3 linked regions of the Neodiprion lecontei genome follow. The protein of the gene in region 3 purifies or fractionates together with the protein of the main gene of each other region. This does not show direct contact. Links are inferred from orthologs where the notes say so. Each region holds a gene or a part of one and is shown on either strand. Other genes may lie near its edges.

What was found. Proteins that work in one complex are often made in the same cells at the same time.
Region 1: the proteins of serine/threonine-protein kinase 3 (region 3) and serine/threonine-protein phosphatase 2A catalytic subunit beta isoform purify together in Drosophila melanogaster (affinity purification with western blotting; 3 studies listed by BioGRID, with this or other methods). This does not show direct contact. The link is inferred for Neodiprion lecontei from reciprocal best matches to the Drosophila melanogaster genes hpo and mts.
Region 2: the proteins of serine/threonine-protein kinase 3 (region 3) and ras association domain-containing protein 4 purify together in Drosophila melanogaster (affinity purification with western blotting; 6 studies listed by BioGRID, with this or other methods). This does not show direct contact. The link is inferred for Neodiprion lecontei from reciprocal best matches to the Drosophila melanogaster genes hpo and Rassf.

Annotation. Positions count from the first base shown.
Region 1 is NC_060262.1:7,959,882-7,967,856, forward strand, and holds serine/threonine-protein phosphatase 2A catalytic subunit beta isoform, read left to right. Parts: upstream 1-1,887; 5' UTR 1,888-2,055; coding exon 2,056-2,163; intron 2,164-5,207; coding exon 5,208-5,417; intron 5,418-5,925; coding exon 5,926-6,189; intron 6,190-6,286; coding exon 6,287-6,459; intron 6,460-7,192; coding exon 7,193-7,300; intron 7,301-7,598; coding exon 7,599-7,671; 3' UTR 7,672-7,712; downstream 7,713-7,975.
Region 2 is NC_060263.1:7,909,888-7,917,683, reverse strand, and holds ras association domain-containing protein 4, read right to left. Parts: upstream 6,089-7,796; 5' UTR 5,914-6,088; coding exon 5,874-5,913; intron 5,786-5,873; exon of another isoform or gene 5,663-5,785; coding exon of another isoform or gene 5,632-5,662; intron 5,512-5,631; coding exon 5,417-5,511; intron 5,333-5,416; coding exon 5,202-5,332; intron 4,221-5,201; coding exon 4,145-4,220; intron 4,058-4,144; coding exon 3,917-4,057; intron 3,843-3,916; coding exon 3,663-3,842; intron 3,520-3,662; coding exon 3,016-3,519; intron 2,896-3,015; coding exon 2,613-2,895; intron 2,538-2,612; coding exon 2,318-2,537; intron 2,174-2,317; coding exon 2,113-2,173; 3' UTR 300-2,112; downstream 1-299.
Region 3 is NC_060261.1:34,662,718-34,669,319, reverse strand, and holds serine/threonine-protein kinase 3, read left to right. Parts: upstream 1-1,561; 5' UTR 1,562-1,576; coding exon 1,577-1,698; intron 1,699-1,900; coding exon 1,901-1,981; intron 1,982-2,090; coding exon 2,091-2,271; intron 2,272-2,346; coding exon 2,347-2,574; intron 2,575-2,711; coding exon 2,712-3,030; coding exon of another isoform or gene 3,031-3,033; intron 3,034-3,272; coding exon 3,273-3,406; intron 3,407-3,496; coding exon 3,497-3,659; intron 3,660-3,726; coding exon 3,727-3,818; intron 3,819-3,909; coding exon 3,910-4,104; intron 4,105-4,295; coding exon 4,296-4,475; 3' UTR 4,476-4,482; exon of another isoform or gene 4,483-4,842; intron 4,843-5,522; 3' UTR 5,523-6,011; downstream 6,012-6,602. UniProt on the Drosophila melanogaster protein: Plays a key role in the Hippo/SWH (Sav/Wts/Hpo) signaling pathway, a signaling pathway that plays a pivotal role in organ size control and tumor suppression by restricting proliferation and promoting apoptosis.

The sequences.
Region 1 (7,975 bases), on a different chromosome or scaffold from region 3:
GAAAATTCTTGAAAATATTCACTACTGCATGATGAGATTTACAACTTGGTCGTTCGAATAACAGTTCTATGGTTATTTATCGAATAGGTATTTACAGCCTCTGTAAACTGGTTGATATACCCACGTATTGCTTCTATAATACCTGGCGGACATGATATTTGTGGTTTTCAGAATTTTTTACGATATCTGTAACTAATCGCCTTGCCACTAATTCGAAATAATTACTGCAGAAAAAAGAAAACCACCTAGCACACGAGAAAACAATAAAACGTACAGGTTCGTTTTGACGTTAACCAATCAGAATTTTACAAGAAAACCGATTACTATTATTTTGAAAATTCATCAATCAATTTGGTTTCTTGCCATTTCTTTCAGATTGGATTGTAACGGAATTTTAATTTTACTCGTCATGTGATATACAAATTCGGTAGGCCAATCCATTTCTATTCCATTTTACATGCAAATTGAAATTTACCTCAAATGAAGATGATTACGAAGATTAGTGCTTTTATAATTTTCTATTGGTTGCTTTCTTTTTTCAAACCTCGTCAATCCATGAAGAAAGATTCCAAACATTTGCACAGGTCGATTCAGATTGATTTCCTCATTACGCAATACGTTTTTTTTTAAATTTCAAATTGGCAGACATCAATATGAATCTGTTTTAATACGTTTCAATATTTTTTAATTTATTGGATAATCGCTTGTAGAAACTTCGGAACTGATATTTTTATTCTCTATAATAACGTATGTTATGTTGAACTATCTATCCAACTTTGATTACAACCGCCATCAATTCGGATTTTTTTTAACTGCTCGTGAAGTAGTCAAAGATTGCCAATGATTTCTGAATGAACGGAATCAACTGATGAAGAGTTATAAGAAAAAATAATGAAAAAAATAAACCGCAATGTAGGCATTCCATAGATCCTCGATCCTACATATCCAATTCTGCAATTGAATATGACTGTATAATTTTTAATTCTTAGAGTTGTTCATGTTAAATAAATGAGACATTACATTTATATGGTCAAAACATTTATATAGCCGTTTTATACATATGTAAAAATAATGCAAATTTCTGAATCTTTTAGCTGTAAGTATGATCAAACTTTTTTAAATTTTCTACTGCGCTACCCAGGCAAGATCAAGCGTAGCATTATTTGAAACTTGTACAGTTCATCGTAACATCAAGTAACCATATTATGACTACGGGCAAGCAATTGTGACGATGGCGTTTTATCGAACATAATTGTCTTAAAATTTAAATTCAATTACGAAAAACGTAAAAATACCAATTGAGGCAGCACCAACTGCGATCAGCATATGCAGACGCGAGCCGGCATCACATGTTTACAGGTAAGTGTATAACCAGATAAATAATGTTCTAGGAAATGATATACAATCATATACACAGGTTACCAGATGGAAATTCAGTTGTAATTCATTACAGAACGTGTTAAATATTTTCGCGGAAGCAGTTTCGTAGTCCAATTCCATATCGTGTCAAAATTGATTTCAAATTCTCCCGCGACAGGTAGTCATAATAGTATCTAAACGACACACCCCATCGAACCGTTGCAGAGTTGAAGCTCCGCCAATAGCTGACAGACCAAAATGAAAAGTAGTTTCATTAATTTTCATAGACTCTGATCATAAGTTGACGGATATCGGTACTTCCCTCGATTTAATTACAATAATTAAGGGCAAAAGAAATGATCGTGACACTTACTGCAAAGTTTCGCCACAAGAGTATACTTTGAATCCGATTGGCGGGCCGAAATAAAAATGCTTTACGATTGGCCAGAGCGAGACAGCCTAGTCGATCCAAACCGAATCTCGGCGAGCGATGCCGAGCGGAAGAATTTAAACGTGACGTCACCCGATCATCACTATTTGTCGGCCATTTTGTGAGTGTGTGGTTGATTGAGATATTTGTGTTGAAATAATACCGGAGCGAAATCGAATGGATTTAGTTTATTGATAAGATAGTTTCCCGTTGCGTTACATGTGCTAAGTGTCAACCGGGTATTGAACATTGCTTAGATCCAAACGATGGAGGAGAAGGCAGTGACGTCTCTGAAAGAGCTTGACCAATGGATCGAACAGTTGAACGAGTGCAAACAACTGACAGAAAGTCAAGTTAAAACTTTGTGCGAAAAGGTGAGCTGGCCGGAGATTTTTCACCCCAAGTTCCTTCATTTCCCCGTTGACTTTCCTAACTTCTTTCCTCCCTGCCGACAATCTGCATCTCTATCCACGCCTATCGCGCCTCGACATCGCCTCCCGGCTAAAAAACCTTATCCAGCATTTTATTCGGTACACAACCCTCGCTTCTCCAAACATTTCACACCAAATCCTTTCTATCACCGATCGTCCCACGTCTTCTTAGGCGTATACGATTGGCCGATATGTCATCGAAAATTGATAGTCACTCACCTTGAATTACGGCTAACGACCAACGTCCCCCGTTCGCCGAGCTCGAATACACGGCGGATAAAATTATCCAACGATTAACCACGCCGCCGTTTGTTTTACACGGAATCGGATTAACTTCCACACCGCGAATTTTTTCCTCTTACTCGCTGCTCATTTTCCCTGTAAACCACATGTTATATTCCGCACACTGTAATAACGAGTAATTTTGTTTTAAACGATTTTATTATTTCTCTATGTATATTTTATGTACTGACGATTTTTTATTACACTTTTTATCATTTGTTTGTCGAATAACACATCGAACTACGTCATTCTGCGATGTCGCGATAAATTTTAAACAAATAGTAATGAATTCAACTTCGTTTCACGCTTCCAATAGTTTAACTTATTTTTAGCATTAGTAGATTAGCAGTAGAGGATTACATATTCGGTATTTCGTACGTCGGGCAATATTTTCTCTGGAATAGCAGATCTACGAAGAACATTCCTGCAATACAATTTCATCAACGCCTGTTACTAATATTTTATTCTACACAATCTTTCAAAGGTCGGTATCTGTGAAACCCTTCTGCTCACAGCTGACAACAGTCAAAATAAATGCGAATACTTTGACGTTTTAATACCCACGCTGTGCTCAGAAGATATTTGATACCTTGGATACGATTATTTTAGGTCAAATCCATAGTACGCTCCACTGTGATCATTTAAATACCGATTGGGCCGTTTTGAATAATATTATTACGTACTTGAGGACGAAAGACTTTATAGCAAATAAAATAAGAATTATTTGTATTATTCCTTTTCCAAATTCATGGGATACTTACTGTGTTACAACATTCAGATATTCCACTGTTTCTTATTGTCTAACTGCGGAAAAATTCCGATATTTTTCAACCCTAATAGTCATTAGTTAATTTTGTACTCGTAAACACTCAGGGACAGTAGATTATTAGTTCGAAAGTCTAAATAATCAAAGAATTCTTATTAGACAAGAATGATAGAAATCATTTGTAATCGTTACCTGTTGAAAATGGTCTTATGTAATTAATAATCCTCATTCTAGAGTCCTTATAAATTTCAGGAAAATCTTTGAACTTTCAGAAACAAATCTTATTGAATACCTTGTTTCATAATTAAGTAACATGTTTTTCGAATCAAGTTCAAGGTTTATTAGAACTATTTTATAGTATTAAGGTTCGTAGAACAAACAGCATTCAACAGAGTTAATGCTGAAAAATATTACATCATGACCCTAAAATTTAAAAAGAATTTAATGCCAATGAAGGTCAATTCAGATTTGTTCACATTTTTTTATCATGCCAGCGAACTTTTCAGCTAGCTCCGACAAGTTTTATAAAATTTCAATGTTCTTGCTAGAAGTTTCAAAAATATCTCTACTTTTTTTATTAAAAATATTTATTTAATTCACTATATTTCAGACAAATCTAAAGCTGTGACATGATGATTTTTCCAGGAAAATGGATCATGACCTGAACGTTACAAACTTTCACCTTATCATTCTTTGTACATTAAAAATTGATCTTGTGAAATGAAGAATCTTTTCCTGCAAACACGAAATAAGTAAACAAGTTGTATGGCCTTGCTGAACCACTTTGATAACTTCGAATTCTGTAGTGATAGGTATTTAACAGATTATCAAATGTCCAGAATGCAGTGTTGAGATAATTTGAAGAAGTGACTCAACTATTATGACAGAAAGAAATTTTTCTCATCGCTCAACTCTTTAGTTATAACTCGGTTCAATTCCAGAACCGGATTTAACGTATGTTTTACGATCATCCAAAACAAGTTTTACTTGGAATTCAGTGGACTGGTATATAATATGTCATAAACTTTGAGAATTAGAGAAAATATCCAGATCTAATCATGTTGATATTAGTTTCTAAAGATATTACATTTTCGTGACGATGATTGTTGTATAAACATAACCAAACAACAGTTCGTTAAAACAGTAAAATGATAAGTTCCTGAGCTTTGGTTGGTCATAAAAACGCCTCTCTTTGTTAGATAAAATTTGAATTTTTCATTAAAAGAAAACTACGACATGGGTAAAACTGTGTGATTTCCCACTTTTTGCAATTAATAATTGTTGACCTTTTTAATAATTCCACCAAATATTGTGTAGAAATATGTTTCGAATTTTGAAAGTATAGTTTCACATCAAACCTTACTTGTTTGAGGGTTTATTTGGCTGAAGATTATTAAACTCGATCGGTAATGTGAGCTGCTTCGCAAGTTGTTCTATACTGTTTATGCTTTTTATAGCAGCACTGTAAGCATAAGCGTAAGCTACAAAAACAAACTTGTTGGAACTTTGGAATTTAAAACATTTTTATGTTAATGATCAGCTAGTGATAGATCGGCATCTTGTAATAATGTCAACTTGGCCATAGTTGCAGTATTTCTACAATGCCTGCAGTTTTTTATTATCGCAGGAGTATTTGTTTTTAAACTCTAGAAAAAAAATCAGTCAGAAATTTTATATGTACTATTCGAAGTGAACATTGATAGACTCCACATAATAAGGGGGAAAATTGAAAACTTCCACTTGCCTGTTGTATTTTCAAACTTGGAGCAGTTTTGTACATATTTTTTTTTCTCTTGCAAATTCAAAATCTATCATCCAGAGTTTACGTTATATTATTAAAACATACTCGAGTCATGACATAATGAAGCGTGTTTATAATAATGACTATGCAAGCATGTAAACATTGGAGAATAATTTGAGTCTGTTTTTTAATTTTCAGGCAAAAGAAATATTGGCCAAGGAGTCGAATGTTCAGGAGGTAAAATGTCCTGTGACGGTATGCGGAGATGTTCACGGACAGTTTCACGACCTGATGGAGCTGTTCCGAATAGGTGGCAAATCACCTGATACAAATTATCTCTTCATGGGGGATTACGTCGATCGTGGATATTATTCTGTTGAGACCGTTACTCTCCTTGTTGCGCTCAAGGTACGAGATCACCAGACATTCATTAGACGAGTTTGAGAAATATATTCATAATAATGAATGGTGGAGTGCAGTTTCGATCATAAAACTATATGATAAAGAAAGAAAACATAGTAAAACAAACAACACTCAGTATTTCCATGATGAGCACTTTGATCCAAGCAGTGTGAATTTAAGGTGAAATTGTTAAACAGTAACGAATCACTTCAACAATTTATTTGAGAAGATATTTTCTGTTTGCGCTTAGTTGTAATTAGCAATAAGCCTTGGTAAAAAATGCAGAAAAGAGTATTTTGATACTTCAATATTAAAAAGTAACCAGATTTTTTTTTTTGAGATTTATACACTAGTAATCTTTCTTAAGACTAAAGAAGTGAAAATCTGGTAACATCAAGGTAACATCAAAGTTTAAAAACTGTTCGATTAATCTTTGTGATTATAATTGTTATTGTGTTGTGATTATGGTAAAAAGCAAAGTAATAATTCCAAGATTGTGTAAACCATTTAACAGGTGAGGTATCGAGAAAGAATAACGATTTTGCGTGGTAATCACGAGTCTAGACAGATTACACAGGTTTACGGATTTTATGACGAGTGTCTGCGCAAGTATGGAAATGCGAATGTATGGAAATTCTTTACCGATCTGTTTGACTATCTGCCACTCACCGCATTGGTCGATGGTCAGATATTCTGTCTTCATGGAGGGTTATCACCTTCCATCGATACTCTCGATCACATCAGAGCATTGGATCGTCTTCAAGAAGTTCCGCATGAGGTTTGTACTGATATACTGTTCCATTTGGAGCCTTTTTATAATAACAACAGTATCAAATTCTGGTAATAAAAAATGGAAAAAAAATCATGATTTCCAGGGTCCAATGTGCGATCTACTCTGGTCAGACCCCGATGACAGAGGAGGATGGGGTATCTCGCCTCGTGGAGCAGGATACACCTTTGGCCAAGACATTTCTGAGACGTTCAATCACTCTAATGGTCTAACTCTTGTATCGCGAGCTCATCAGCTGGTAATGGAAGGATATAATTGGTGAGTTTCCTTTTGTAGCTAACAATAAGTTCTGTCTCCACATTAACCACATTAGCAATTCGACAAATTATACATGGAATAATAAATTGAGAGCAGTTCATCGGTTGGGAAACTTTCAATAAAAAAATTCATTCTTAAATAATAACTGAACTGTATGAATATACATCACATATTTTTCCAGGGTTCGTATGCACAGGGAAAACCGAAAAAACTCGGGGAATTTCTTACAGCAGGGAAAAGTCAGGGAGTTTTCAAAATATCACTGGAATTTTGAGTCTGTCGAAGAAATGAACTTGTTGTTATACAAAGTAGTATCGTACTTAAGAAAAAGAAAGTTGCACTCAAAATTTTTTTTCTTGCATCACTATACATTGTACATACCTCCTTACTTAGTACCAAACTATCTTTCGTTTGCTTGTTATGAAAACTCGCCGGCTGTTGTGTGTAAATTGATAGAGTTATTAGATAAACATAGTTACTAGGTAATATTGAAGGTATTAGTTTGAATGTAAAAAAAAATTGTCAGCAATCGGCGGCATATTTTTTGAAGGTTGCTGGAAAATTTCGATTTTCAGGCTGGAATACCTGTAAAAGTCAGGGGATTTCAATTTCCAAAAAATATACGAACCCTGCTTTAGTTGATAAGATGTTTCTCTGATTGTTGAATATCACTTTTGTTATTTCTACTAACCAATTTGTGATTATTTAATAATCTATAAAATTTTTCTTCCAGGTGTCACGATCGTAATGTTGTGACTATTTTTTCGGCGCCCAACTATTGCTATCGCTGCGGAAATCAAGCGGCGATTATGGAACTGGATGATGCATTGAAATATTCATTGTGAGTATAAGAGTTATGTAAAGTAACACTGCTGTAAAAGAATTTATTTCTAGAATGAAAATATTATCACTTTTTTTACGATTGCCATACTAGTTAGAAGATTCTAAAAAAAATTGAATTGGCTTGTATACAAGGTTTACCAGCATTTCAATAACAAAAAGAAACTTTCTCATTGAAAGTTATGGAAAAATCTGGAGAATTTATTTTGCAGTTGGGGTCGATAGCTTCGAGAGTAAACTCTTGACATATTGGAAATGCAAAAAGAATATGTAATAAAATATAAATTTCTTTGTTACAGCCTTCAGTTTGATCCAGCACCGAGACGCGGTGAGCCGCACGTTACTAGGCGGACGCCAGACTACTTCCTCTAAAGAAATTATAAAAAAAGAAAAAAACAGCCAAACACAAAAAGGAATGGAAAAGATAGAGCAGGAAATAATTCACGACAAACTGGAGGTAGTTGTTAAGGTAGGAGAACAGAATGGATTTGGCTTTATAAATATGCCAAGAACCCTAACATAACTTTATAATAGGAAGATCGGTGTGACTGTAGGGCTTTTGGAGCAAACCTTACATGCCATGTATAATGTCGCGTATTACCTATGTTACAGTCTTTTCAAAGTATCTCACACTTACGAAATGCGAGCTGAAAAGAAAAAAAAGAATGAATAAAAA
Region 2 (7,796 bases), on a different chromosome or scaffold from region 3:
GTACATTTTTAAAGGATAAAATTCGCTTTTTGTGTAGTAAATTTGTGCAACAAAATGGACTGCTGGCGGCTTGCACAATACTGAAGAAACCATCGGTCTGGGCACAGTATTGACTGCAGATATTCAAAGGTATTTCAGCATCCTTACGTTATCGTTTAAAACTATGCCATAGTACGAAAATGTGACACCGGTTCAGGAGATCGTCGATTTTTTCTTCTACTGTATAGCGACCGTTGCGATAATGTGATTGTTGAATAACAACTGAAAAAATTTTGGGTCTCACATTGAAACTATATAGATGAGTGGCAAATGCATTACTTTATTACACTTCTTTTCAACTTATATAGACGTACAATATTGTCCGTGATATAATTATATTACAATTTATTGATATTTTTATTAATGCCAATTACGTTTATCTACATATAGTACTGAAACGTAATTCGTTAAAAGAAAGTCATGGTACCGTGTTAAATATACACTATTTAACTATTTTGTCATGAAATGTAAAGAAATTTAATACTACTTGCCAATAATTAATGTTAGCCGAAAATTAGGAGGAAAGAATTGGTATAGATATCATTGTACAAAATTGGGCTAGTTAGATCAAGGAAATATTTTTACTCAAATTTAAATCAAAGCTACACAATCACAATCACAATCAAATGCACGCACACCCATACTCTAGATCACAATTTGAGAAAATTTCAGAAGAAGTTGGTCTATACAGAAAAATTCTTATAAAAATTAGGTATCATACGTATAACTATATGTTGTGTAAATTCTCGCAATTTTTGCTCAAAATATATGTCTGCATATCGTGAGGACATAAAACGAATATCTAGGGAAGAAACTGCATTGTCGCAACATTTTGAAATGCCACAATGAGTCATCGCTACATGCTACAAGATTTATAGATAACGAGCAATCAGAATGTCTTCTAGCAAAGTTTTTAAGCAAGCAGCTTCGCGAGTAATATGTCTCGTTGCACAAGATTTAAGACTGTAGTTAAACAATCGTCAGGCAACTCATAGACTGTATTTGCAAGAAAGTCTTAATAACGGTTTAATTTCAACCATTTCTCGGTTGCAAGCCGAAGAATGTAGGCAGGAAAAGCACCAAATGACGAAAGGCATTCATTCACACCACGTCCAGAATGTTCATATAATTGAGATTACGTACAGTCTACAGGGTTTCGAATAATGTAAGTATAATTATCCACAATCGATCACAGCTAATTTAGAACAAACGCATCAGGTTCCAATTCAAATTATTAAGATTCGGTTAGATAAGGAATTCTCTAGAATTTTGTAAATGTTTTCCCACATGCATATAAACAAACTCTGTATATAAAATTTAGAGTAATTGTCTGCGCCTTAAAAGACTGTTATCAAATTTTAACAGGAATTGTTCGAATCTTAAAATGAAAATTAAATACGACATTCGGCTCTTGGCAACTTCATATAACAGCTGTCATTTTTTGTTTCATGTTTTTTTTTTTTTGTCATTTTCTTATCTTAATATACATATTCTTAATTCAATAGAGCTACCTAATGTTCAATTGATTTTCTACGATCATTTTCATGAGTAGCGTGTAAAAAATCAAATAAACAAAAATTATTATTAAATAAGTCCGCTACAGGGGTGGAATTGAGAAAATCCATTAAAATTAGTTTAAAAATCTACGCACCAACCTAACAGCGGAAGCGTAAAGTGTATCAGCTATTGATCGGTTCACTGGTATATAGTGATGCAAATCTCATATAACGGACAAATAGAGAATACGAGTAAAAAATTAAAACAGACAATATTATCTATGAACTAAATACTGTTCGATAGTTTAGATATATAAAGTATCCAATTGCATGGAACGTTTTCGAAATTTACAAGTCGACGAAACTGGCAATAGTAACAATAATATTAATAATAATATTAGTGGGTATGTATTAAAAAGATTGAATAATTTTTGAAACATGAGCACAAGGTAACCAACATGGCTTATGCCCAAGGTATAATCCTTGATGAAATTAAAAAACCTACAAACTATTCATATAAATTTCTCTTCAATTGAGTTATTTGATCATTACAATACTTATCATGTTTCAGATCCCATTACAGTCGAACTTTTAGCTCGTCCATTCGTTGCATTATTCTCCGTCTCATTTCTTTGTATCTGAAAAAGATAAGCAAGTGAACAATATGAACTATTTCTGATTTCTTAATTTTTAAGTACAACGACATTGTACTCGGTACTCATCCTTGATTTAAATATTAGACGAAAAGAGTTTGATTTTCGGGGCAACGCAAATATGCTCACTTTTCTTTCAGGAGAGCTATTTGGCGGTCCTCTTCATAATGATACCGTTGTAAAATGCCTGAACACTCAGCGGCGGAGAGATTCAAAAACTGCGCGACGTCGGAACTGATTTCCGGAGTTGAGAAACGATCGACAAGAAAGAGCCGAGCAACGGTCTCATGGGGTCCCAGTACCACCCTCGTTTCCAGCGGATATTCGTCGTCCCTCAATCTTCGCTGTTCTGAAATTTTGTATTTCACGATATGGGTTTGCCAAATGTGTAATAATTCGTGAACAGGTATTTTTTATCCCTTACCGCCGTTGTCACGAACGACGAATAGTGCAAAATTGCCCGGTTTAGCGTCCACTTTGTACTTGTCGAGCATCAAATTTATAACCTCTTGAGTGCTAACCAGACTTGTCACCCAAACAGACATTTGTGATCCATGCGGTGGCGTAAAAAAACTCGTTTCTCGATTGTAGAAGTGACCATTGATTGAACATCGCCTCCTTAACCGACTACGTGACTGACGTCTTCCACCTGGTCGACGTCTTATGGCAGTCGATCCCGGCTTACGCCGCAAAACAACTCCGTCCAGCTGAAAAATACTCAAGAATTCATTGGCTCTGTTGACCGGTCGATCGTATCTTATCTCCATCTATATTCCTATCAATTAAATTGCTCGCAAGTAGGAGTAAGCCTTTTGAAAGATACTCACTTCCAACCCACTGTCGGTCGACATTGTCATGTTATCGTCGTCGCGAAAATGAAGAGAATTCACTGAATCAGTGTCACTGTCCGTGCGATGTCTCTGCAAGCAATCAGGACCGGACATCGAACGATTCAAACCCTTTTCGATCCAGCTATCATCATTGCTCAAAGTTCTGTTACTGGCACCCATATTCTTCTCTAAACTATCAAAGTACTCGACACGACGAAGGGTCCCATTTCTGTTCGGTGTTCCTTGATAGTTTGGCGTGTCTGTACTAGATGAACTATCCATACTATGCGTTGGTGTGCTGGTTATACTGCTGTCATTGTCGACGATATGTTTCACAGCTTGTTGAGACAGATTACTCGATTCAACATTTTCTACATGTCCTTCAACGGTAGAGTGAACTTTCACCTCAGACGAATCTGCACCGGGTTGAGAGCTAATTGATGGCAAGCCAACTGGCATAGTTTGATACAGCTTGTTGCCCTCCTCTACCTTCCTCTCCACCTGAAAATCGAGTGAGTACATGCGTTTAGTCGGTAAACACATTTTTGTATTACGTATATTATACATTTCATGGGTCAAAAGCATTCTTTTTACGGTCAAGATTTATCTCTAATTCACGCTTATAATTACGAGATATTTAATACCTGAAGAAGTTCATCTAGTTCATCCCACTCCATATTTTTGACGTCGAGTTTCATCGGAAGTGTAAGACTTTTCGGGTGATCGGGAGATACTGGAACTGAGTTTGGTTCACTTTCAGTTTCAGTCTCAGGTGGGGAGCTATCCTTCGACGTGGCATCTACTTGGTCGTCATCTCCTCCATCCTGAAAAAGAACTCAAACGTTAATTTTTGATTTAGTTTTGGTTATTCTGGATTACTTTTATACATTTTTCAGACCTCTGAAACACTCTGTCTACAAGAATTTCGATTTCTTGCAGTGACAACTGTGCGCTGATCATCATCTTCTTTAAGGTGGATAACGCCTCGAACTCCCCAATGAATTCTCAGTGCACCTTCCAGTATTAATCTGCCATTTACCTGAGTTGAAAAAGAATCAATCATCTGTTTTGGCATACTTACGAAGGTAGGAAAAAAAAAATGTGTATTCAAAGAATTTTCACAAACCTCACGACTTCTGATCCCACCACTTTTACCCTCATAATACTGATTGAACAACTTCAACTTTGATTCTAAATGAGACCTAAATGTGAAAATGAACTATTTAGATACAAGGAAAAATCATAATACAATTTATTGATTAATGTGGATTGCGGTTTCCCACATTCAGAAAAAAAAAAACATACAGAACTCAGCTTATCACATGACAATCTACAAAACAAAAAGGACAAGTAATGGTATGAGTAAAAAGTCCATGAAACTTTAATTTCTCAAGAAACAAGTACAATCTACATCATTTATAATCTCTAGTCGCTTTCAGAGGAATACTACTATAGAATTATTTTTATTCACAGACTGAATTTTTTTTTCGTTTTTTCTAAACTGTATCTTTCACAATTGCGTTAAGCCGTTACAGGAAAACGTATTCTATGATGTGAAATTTATCATACAATTGGCATAAGATAAAAATTCTTCGAGTCAATCACACAGTGTGAATTAATGGTAAGTTTACTCAAATTATACATCTGCGAATATCTAAATACTTTGTTTCAATTGTTTTACCCAAATATTCCATGAGCAGACACACAACTCATAATATCAATGAAATTGAAATTAATAATGTTATTATTGGAATGAAACATAGAAAAAAATTATCTGTTTTGCAATTTTGCAATAACTTTAAAGGAGTTAAATTTTCAAAACACCAGCATATCTTGCTCAGTAGTACAGTGAATTACAGACAATTTAAAATTTGCGAAATAATGGTTTTCCTAAGCAGGCTAAATTGTTACCATAATGTTACTAACTTCAAAATGATTAATACTGTCATTCTGAAGATTTTTTATCATACACTTATGTTCTTTGCTGACTTGTTTCATATCAAATTCCCTTTTAACACATGAAAAAAGTTTTCATTTCAAAACACTTGGAGTTTCTTCGTGAATTCTAAAGCTTTCTGCTCTTAATTAACTCCATCTCAACAAAGTTTTTTATTCAAATAAAAATGGAATAATTTTATAATTTGAGACTCTAATCTAGAATCGCTTAACAGAGTATATTTTACCTGGGCAACGTTGATCGAGATTCTTTCTTCCCAAAGCTTGTATGAGATTCCACTCTTGTGCCGTGTCCGAATAACTGGGGCCCAAAGAGAGCCCCGTAACAGGGTACATGACAGTAAGGAACTCCTTTATGCTGAAATGCAGAAAGAACGGGAACGTAATGAGGATATTTTTTTGTTCAACTGCAAATATTCCAGCATGAAAAACTTATTGTCACCTCAGCATGCTGTCCAGGATTTAATCGTTTGCCACATTCTTCGCACCGTAAACATTCTGGATGCCAGTCGTAACCCAAAGATTGTTTCCGCTCGGCTGGAAGATCATACAATATGAAAAGAAAAGAGAAGAAAAAACTAAGGAAAAAAACAATCCTCATCACTATATGGAATAGACATAACCTAAAACAAAGTGCAATGACCTGCCACTTACTACCTTGAATTGTAAATGAGACCCTGCTGTGCATCAGAAGAATATTTACAAACTACCAGAAAAATGTGTGAAATCAGGTTTGTTATGTTTCTTTTCTTCATACTCTATGACTTATAGATGTGGAAAGAGTGAGGAAACGAAACTCTGGAGTTTGTCTACTCAAGTGACAGAGTGTAAGAAATAAAAAAAAAAAATAAAAAAAACTGGTGAATATTCGCGTTTGCATTTTTTATGTGTATATTTACCGAAGTAGACAGGTTTTCCACATTTGTGACACTTCCACATGTTGATAATCGCAGTTAACAACGGTAAAAATTGTTCATCAAGATATACCACTGATATTTTACTGCATTTTGTTTACAAAATTACATACAGACCAGAGTCGAGCCTGCATCTGAAATGACACGCGGTACGTCACTGCACTGTTGTCCTCCCATTTGCGCATGCGCACGCAACTCGAATGCTGCGCGGCCCACGCGCAGCCATTTCTCATTAAATATCCGTGGACGATATCTTCAGTCAACGCCACTGAAGTCGACGCAACCAGGTGAGTATACCGAGAAAATCTCTTGAAAGTTGAAAATCAACTGCGCTTGCGCGAGTCTTGTCGGCTCTTCATTCAGGCTGGCCATCCCGAGCATGGAGACTAGAGTAAGTCTCCATGATCCCGAGTTTCAATTGTCAAACTATTTCTGTTGGCGGTATACTTTGTACGAATTTTCGAGGTTAGAATCTTAAATAATTGAGGTAGTGACTCGGAAAGGTTGAGGTAGCATTTGTTATTGAGTTGGAAAGTTTATTCTTTAAAGAACGGTTGGAATTTGATGCTTATGCTTTTCGAAAATTCATCCGTACACATTTTGTGCACGCTGATCCATTGACTGAAGAATATAAAGACGGATATCCCTGGTTAAATTTTTGTGACCAGTTTTCGTCGGGTGTTGACTGAAGAATATAGACTGTTGCCCTGATGGGCTTTGGTGTGAAAAACGAAAATCGTTGTGCGCTTGCGTCCCCTGAGATGGTCCAACGGTAGAGTTGAGAACTTATTGCAGAACATCAGAGTTACCGATTTCGACATGATGCTGGCTGCATTCACCTTCCGAGTAACACAGTCTTCCCAATGGTAAACCCAAGCCGGCGATACAAGAAGTTAATAATGAGAATAAATTTCTTCCAAAATTCGTAGCAAAACAGTGATTTAATTAAAGTATAGGTACCTGAGAGAGGAATGTATACATGGATCATAAATAACAATAGATCAGATGTAATAATCATGCAGAGACCAAAAAATACATATGTATATGCGGTCCATGTACGATATTAATATAGGTATATGATCCATTTACGATTCATACGTGATGCATACTATAAATTTTATAATTTTCCACGAGACAAACTAGATTATCTACAATAATACGTCTACAATATTAAAATAAAAAAATTATTCTATTCGACACGCGCTCGATGTATCCCATAACAGTGATATTCATAATTACTCCAACAACTTATCATTTGCTCTCTCGATCTTGAATTTTCTAGGCATAGAATTGAAACGCTGTTTTAGCTAGTCGCAAGTGAGATATCTATGTAGGGTAGATCAGCAGAATTGTTTCTCGAAAAGTGTTCGTGTAGAAAAAAATTCAGAGTAACTGTAATAGATCACGGATGCGCTAATTTTGATCGAGATGCTCCGTATATGAGACAGTATTTAACGCAGTGTCCTGATTTAAAAACCTAAAAAGGTGATTGTAAAAGACTTTTTTTTTATAGGGAGAGATAGAACGAAGCTTTTTAAAACTTTGAGTGTATTTTAACACACATTTGAGAGGTACGAGCAACAATTTTTATCATTCAACTGTCGCGGAACGACAGCGTTATTAGCACCCCCGTTAACTGAAGAATATATCTTTAGTCAACGGCTGACCATCGAAAGGCCTAGCCGCATGAGTCTGGAATCGGCACGAAAGATGAAGTGCGTATTTCTTGTTTGAAATGTGAAAACTAAAATCATTCTACATCATATCATATCATCGTACATCATACATCATACTTCGTACATGGTATTGAAGTTCGAAACAAAAGTTTGGATGTTAGGATGTTCAGAAAGTGACGTCACTCAAAATTTTTTTTCTCTTGACGTCATCGAGCTAAAATCAGCTAGCCGA
Region 3 (6,602 bases):
ACACTGATCACGGCTGGCTCGCCGAGAGTAGTTTGGATTTCCGACGAGAGGCTTACGTGCTCGCCTGCTAGCCTGCCCGTTAAACGATACACCGCTCACTTCGGACTCGTAGACGCGGGAGTTTCGAAAATCCATGATTTGGAAGAGAGATAATCGAACGCTTGTTTGCAACAATTACAATGTTCGAAAGCTGACGAGTTGAACATAGGTTCTGATCTAAATATCAAAGTCCACCTATCTCACACACGAACGAAGGATTAACAGCCCTATTTTGTACGCTATTTCGAACAAAAACACTCCAATACATTTTCATTTGATGCAGAAATAAAGAAATATATGGTATGAATTCTACGATTTGACTGTTCGATTTCGTAGAATCTGGGCCATTTCTTTATTTCTGCGTCAAATGAAAAATGTCTAGGACTGTTTTTGTTCAGAACTGTGTATAAAATAAGGCTATTAAGTATTTTTTCGTTTTCGAGATACGTGGCCTTTGATATTTGGAGATATATCCGTGAACGTTGAAATCGAACAGGGCATCTAGGGAGAAATAGAATATGATCAGACGTAACCGATTTTTGCATCACGGTAACATCGGTCTTAATTGGCATCGTAATTCTGTTTTTCTTCTTTCTCTTCCCTCGTAGGCTATCCTCTGTACCGTTATTCAGGATGAGAATAATACCGTGTGAAAAGCCACTCTTATTTAGGCACAGATAAAAAGTCTCCGATTGTTACTTGCAAGAATATCGATGATTAATGTGTTTCATAATTGATTAATTTTCCTTCATACGGTAGCTGTGATTAAAGATAATGAGTTGTAAAGACCTTTCGACTGTAAAATGCTCGATTGAAACGCTTGAAACGTTTGAAACTTTGACTGAAGTAATTATTCGGCCCCTCACTCTGACATCAGTCGGAGTTATAATGAACTAAGGCAGTCTAACTATACAGCTAGTCAATAAATATATATTTGCTTCGGTTACAGACAAATAAGAGTTGAAAGTCTATGGACGTCTTGATCAAGGGTTTCGATATTTCAGTTGTGGTTAAAATTAATTTTATTGTCAAAAAATGTAATATTAGTTATTTGAATTGAATATGATTTTATTATCAACGTATAGTGTATTTTTGACGTATTAGTTCGTTATTTGCGTAGTGAATGTGTGTTCTTTTTTTTTTATCCAAGTTAATATTAGACTGACGTAAAAACGAAGATGTCTTCTAAAAGGTATATATGTATATTTATTTAATTGTTTTCCTTTTTTTTATCTGGACCCGAATGAATCCTACCCTTATATGTATGCGTCAAAATAGTTCCAATTTTCGAAATGATGCCGACGATTCAAAACAATAATTAGAAAGACAGTTAAGCTGTAAATTATTCCAAACAATCTCCATTTCACTCGAAAATTACATATTTACAAATTAGCAATAACAGTACTATCGAAAACCTAAAATTGTTTTCTTTCTTTGTTAACCTTTGTCACTGTAAACTACTCTTCATTGCTTACTCCGTTCACAATATATTTGTTATGTTCTTCAACCGATTAAGTTGCATTAATGAATTTCATACATGTCTAGTCTGACTCCAAGGTCCATTCTCTCAAGGAATGAACTAACGGAAAAATATATTCCCACTCCAAACTTGCCTTTGGGTCAATCTTTATTTTACTTCTCAGGTTTTGCAAACAGATAGTATGTACGCAAATCTTGTCAAATATTTACAATACGTCATTCCAATCTCTAATGAACCACCTTTGATTTAAGTCCAACCTCTATGTCTGTCAAACATGACATTGGATTACTTTATTTTTAGAAACAATATGACAAAGCCATCTTACAATCAGAGAGATTAAAATTTTGAACAGACGCTAAAAAATTCCTTCTACCTTTACAGTGAGTTGAAAAAGTTATCCGAGGAAAGCTTGACACGACAACCCGAAGAGGTTTTTGACATAATCTGCAAGCTTGGTGAAGGGTGAGCGTTACTTTGAGAGAATTCTACTTAGTAATCTAATTATTAGTGTGCCATACTAATTTAGTATAATTTGGATGTCTTTTAAGATATGGCTCAATGTTTGTTTCAGATCTTATGGTTCCGTTTATAAAGCATTGCACAAAGAGAGCGGGCAGGTGCTTGCGATCAAGCAAGTACCTGTGGATACGGATTTACAGGAGATAATAAAGGAGATTTCAATAATGCAGCAATGCGATTCACCGTATGTAGTGAAATACTATGGAAGTTACTTCAAGAACACGGATTTATGGGTATGAATTGAATTTCGTGAGTTACGTGAATGTTATCGGTTCGAACAATGATAGTGAAATGATTTGTTATTACAGATTGTTATGGAGTATTGTGGCGCCGGTTCTGTCAGTGATATAATGAGGCTGAGGAAGAAAACCCTGCAAGAGGATGAGATAGCTACGATATTATGTGATACTCTTAAGGGTCTTGAATACCTCCATCTTAGGAGGAAAATCCACAGGGACATCAAAGCCGGAAACATCTTACTCAATACTGAGGGGCATGCTAAGCTGGCTGATTTTGGTGTAGCTGGACAGTTAACGGTGAAACAAATTAACAAAGAAACAGAAAAATTTGACACCTAATTAGACGGAAAGCAAAGAAAAAAAAAAAATTCATCCACATTTACTTACAATCAGTGTTGCGAATTTTAAAAAAATGTTGGCCCACTTGTTTATAGGATACTATGGCTAAGCGCAACACTGTTATCGGAACTCCGTTCTGGATGGCACCGGAGGTAATTCAGGAGATTGGATACGATTGCGTCGCGGATATATGGTCATTGGGTATAACAGCTCTAGAAATGGCAGAAGGAAAGCCACCATATGGTGACATTCATCCAATGCGTGCAATTTTCATGATCCCCACCAAACCCCCACCAAGTTTTAGAGAACCTGACAAATGGAGTGCAGAGTTCATAGAATTCGTTAGTGGCTGTCTCGTCAAAAACCCTGAAGAAAGGGCGACAGCCACTGAACTGCTCAGTCATGAATTTATAGGTAGTCGTACTGTGTTTCATGCAAGTAATTGAATTAAGTCTCAAGTCAGTAATTAATGAAACAACCCGAATCACGATACATGTAACTCAGGACTGCCTTGACATTTTTTTATAGTATGAGTTTTACATATCAAAAACAAACAAATTCAAATTTAATACCAATGACAATAAATATCTTTGATATACTTGTTAACAAAACTCAGGTTTTCTTTTACTTATATCAATTTCACTATTGAACTGTTGAAGGCAATGCGAAGCAGCCAAGTATCCTTAGTCAAATGATAGCGGAGGCACATGAAATTAGAGAAAAACAGACCAACCGAGCACACGTTATTAATAATGTGGCTATTAAGGGAAAAAATCATGCTGATGATTCGGTAAAAAATACTTCCATCTCGATTCACTACTCAACAATTTACAAAGTCAATTATTTTTTCACATTGCTCATTGAATTTTCTCACCTGAAGGACGAAGAAGACTGCAGTGGAACTATGAAACCCCTTCCAGAAGATGTCGGGACCTTGGTACCAGGTGTAGATCTCCCTGACACAGGCACTCTAGTTTCTGCAATGTTGGATCTAGGAACAATGGTTATTAATAGTGACACGGACACAGAAGCAACGATGAAAAGTGGGTATACTGCTTTTGACTTATGGAGCAAGACATTGTCTTCAAATGGTTAATTTACCTTCTACAGGGCATAACACAGGATCAGTGGAGTCTGGAAAGAAGTATCGTCCCTTATTTCTTGATCATTTTGACAAGAAGGAAGCAACTGAGATTGGCAATGTGAGTTCAAATTTATTGTAACTTTCTCAGTGTTCCGTTTTTGTTATGGAGTATTGGCACTTTTAAAGGAGATTTTGTTTCTTATTCTCAGGACAATGGCCACATTCTTGCCGCACATAGTACAGAAACAGAACCTAAAGTGGAACAACAGAGTCCAACAGAATCTCAAAGGTTTCAAAGCCATCTACAGCTACAACTCAATCAAATATCATGTCCTGTGCAAGAGCCGGCTCACAATAACATATCGAAATTTCAAAATGCCTTCACAGAACGAGACTTTGATTTTGTAAGTATATTCTTAAATTTTTCCCACTGTAAAGAATAACAAACTTTCTACTGCATAATTGACGTCAATAGATACATTTGGATCATGGGAAGACCCATCAGCTTCATTATTGAAATTATAACTAAACATGTTTCAATATAAATGTATTTAAAAAACGCAGTCATAGGCATCATAACGAAAATTCAATATAGATAAACAAGCATGTCCTTCAGCTGAAGTTCCTCTCATACGAGGAGCTGCAGCAACGCATGGCCAGCCTGGATGCAGAAATGGAACGTGAGATAGATGAATTAAGACGGAGGTACCAGACAAAGAGGCAGCCAATTCTTGATGCCATGGATACCAAGCGAAAGCGTCAGCAAAACTTCTAACGCTTCGGTATAGTTTTATTGATATACACATATTTTTTTTAAACTTTGTTTCCTAATTGTTTTCTGCTAGACGAAGTAATAGAATCGAGCGTGATAGAGAGATAAAAAGTGTGTACAGTTGTATAAATGAATGAATAGATTATAATTATGCGTTCTCAAAACCTAGTTTCACTAATAAAAATTCATTATATTCTATTTTTTAATACCTCATTAAAAAAAAAAGAACTGCAATAAAATTTCTCTAGTAATGAATATTTTTTTCGTGAATCTAGGGATCTACAATCTATTATAATATTATTAGTGTAATAGCGATACGTCACTCAATGTAAATTATTTTACACAAATTAAATATGGAATCGCAACTATACTTAATTTTTTTACTACATATGTTAACTTTACTTACTGTTATACAAACAATATTCTTATAGAAACATTATATACACGAATTAAATATAAAGTCAATTTAGAAAATAAATCGTGTCCAGTATCATCGGTTGATTCAAGTGAATCCGTTTTTTTCAATCATTGTTATTCATATTAAACCGAAAATTGTACTACATGCAATTACATTTTTACCATTTTACTATTTACCCAGCACATATCTGATATCACATTTTTTAATAGTAGTGGTGTCGTGATTTAAAAATTTACCGATGAAATATTAACATTATTTGTTCTTAATAACCCTTTGTCGCACTGTTTTACGATATGAAAGATTGAATTACTTTGATATTCAGGCACATATTTTTTTTATCCTCAAACCAAATGGTCACTGCTAAAGGTAACACTTTGAAAGTTATTTATTTCAACGAACACATGTACCGGCGTACTAAAAAACATATAGTTTGAGGTGAGTTGTTTTGTTTTTTCCGTTTGTACATAATATTGTGTACATATACGATTTGCTATTGGGATGCATCTAATACAACGCCGAGAGTAGCTAGATTTTTTACTCAGGTGAAAATACGTCTTATTCAATGCTGACCGAAGTTTTAAAAAAAAATCTTTTAATCTAGCAACATTAACTTGCCTTTATTTGATTTGCAGTATGACGCTTCAGGCTAATGTTTGCACGAGAAACTGTCTTGCCCGACGCCTGAGCATGCTTACATACATATGTATACCCATATCAACGTGTCGACATTGCGCTTCAAGCATTGTAAAACAATGGATCTCTGCTACCTGCACATCCCGGTGATCTTGCTGGCCAAGTTTTGTCCTTATGAAGGCAGAGAAGTGTATCGGATGGGTTTCGAATTGTCTTGAATAATATTGTTGCGTAACTTTCCCATGATCAGCTCATTTTAGAAGTATGCACTTTTAGTACGCGGTGAGTTTTTTTTTTAAATCGACAAAACAGATATCACCCAATACATATCTCGTAACTCAATAACTAGCATTTAATAGTTTTAGTTTGAGTGATTCTGCACTTACACTACCTACCATACATACCGATGTGCCAAAAAAAAAAACACAAACAACAAAACAAAAAGAAAACAACAAATAAGTAGAGATGGAGAAGGATAGATTTCTAATTTCGTATGGATAGGTAAGACAATAGATTCGCACCTCCCGTAGTATGCATAAGCTTTTAATCATTGAGTCCGTGATGCAGGAAATTTCCGGATTATAGTGAGATTGAAAACAGTTTCGTGTCACAAATGATGACAATGAGGTCGAGTATCTCAATTTATAAACTGGCAGTATTCATCGATATACTAATTACAAATGACTTATTCGAGTTTTTTTGCAATTGATTTGTCTATCAGGTTTGGAGGGATATCTAAATATTTGCCTTATTGAAGTAAATATCATCAGGTATAGCAGCACGAATCAATTTTGAAATAATGAAATATCAAATTGGAGTTATAAAAATAAAGTGTATCAACGACGTTGCACTATTTTTTTAGATAATAAATATGTAGTATTATATAGTTAACCATATAGTCAAACTGACATTAGTACACGTACTTTTTTCACTAAGAACACATAATCACGGATAGAATAATCTTGTATATTTTTATACCTACGTAGAAATCGTGTACCATTGTAAAGTTGTATTACTTTACAACGTCCACCTTTGTCAAAATCTTTTCCAGAATTTATTTATTACTTTTTTTTTAAGTC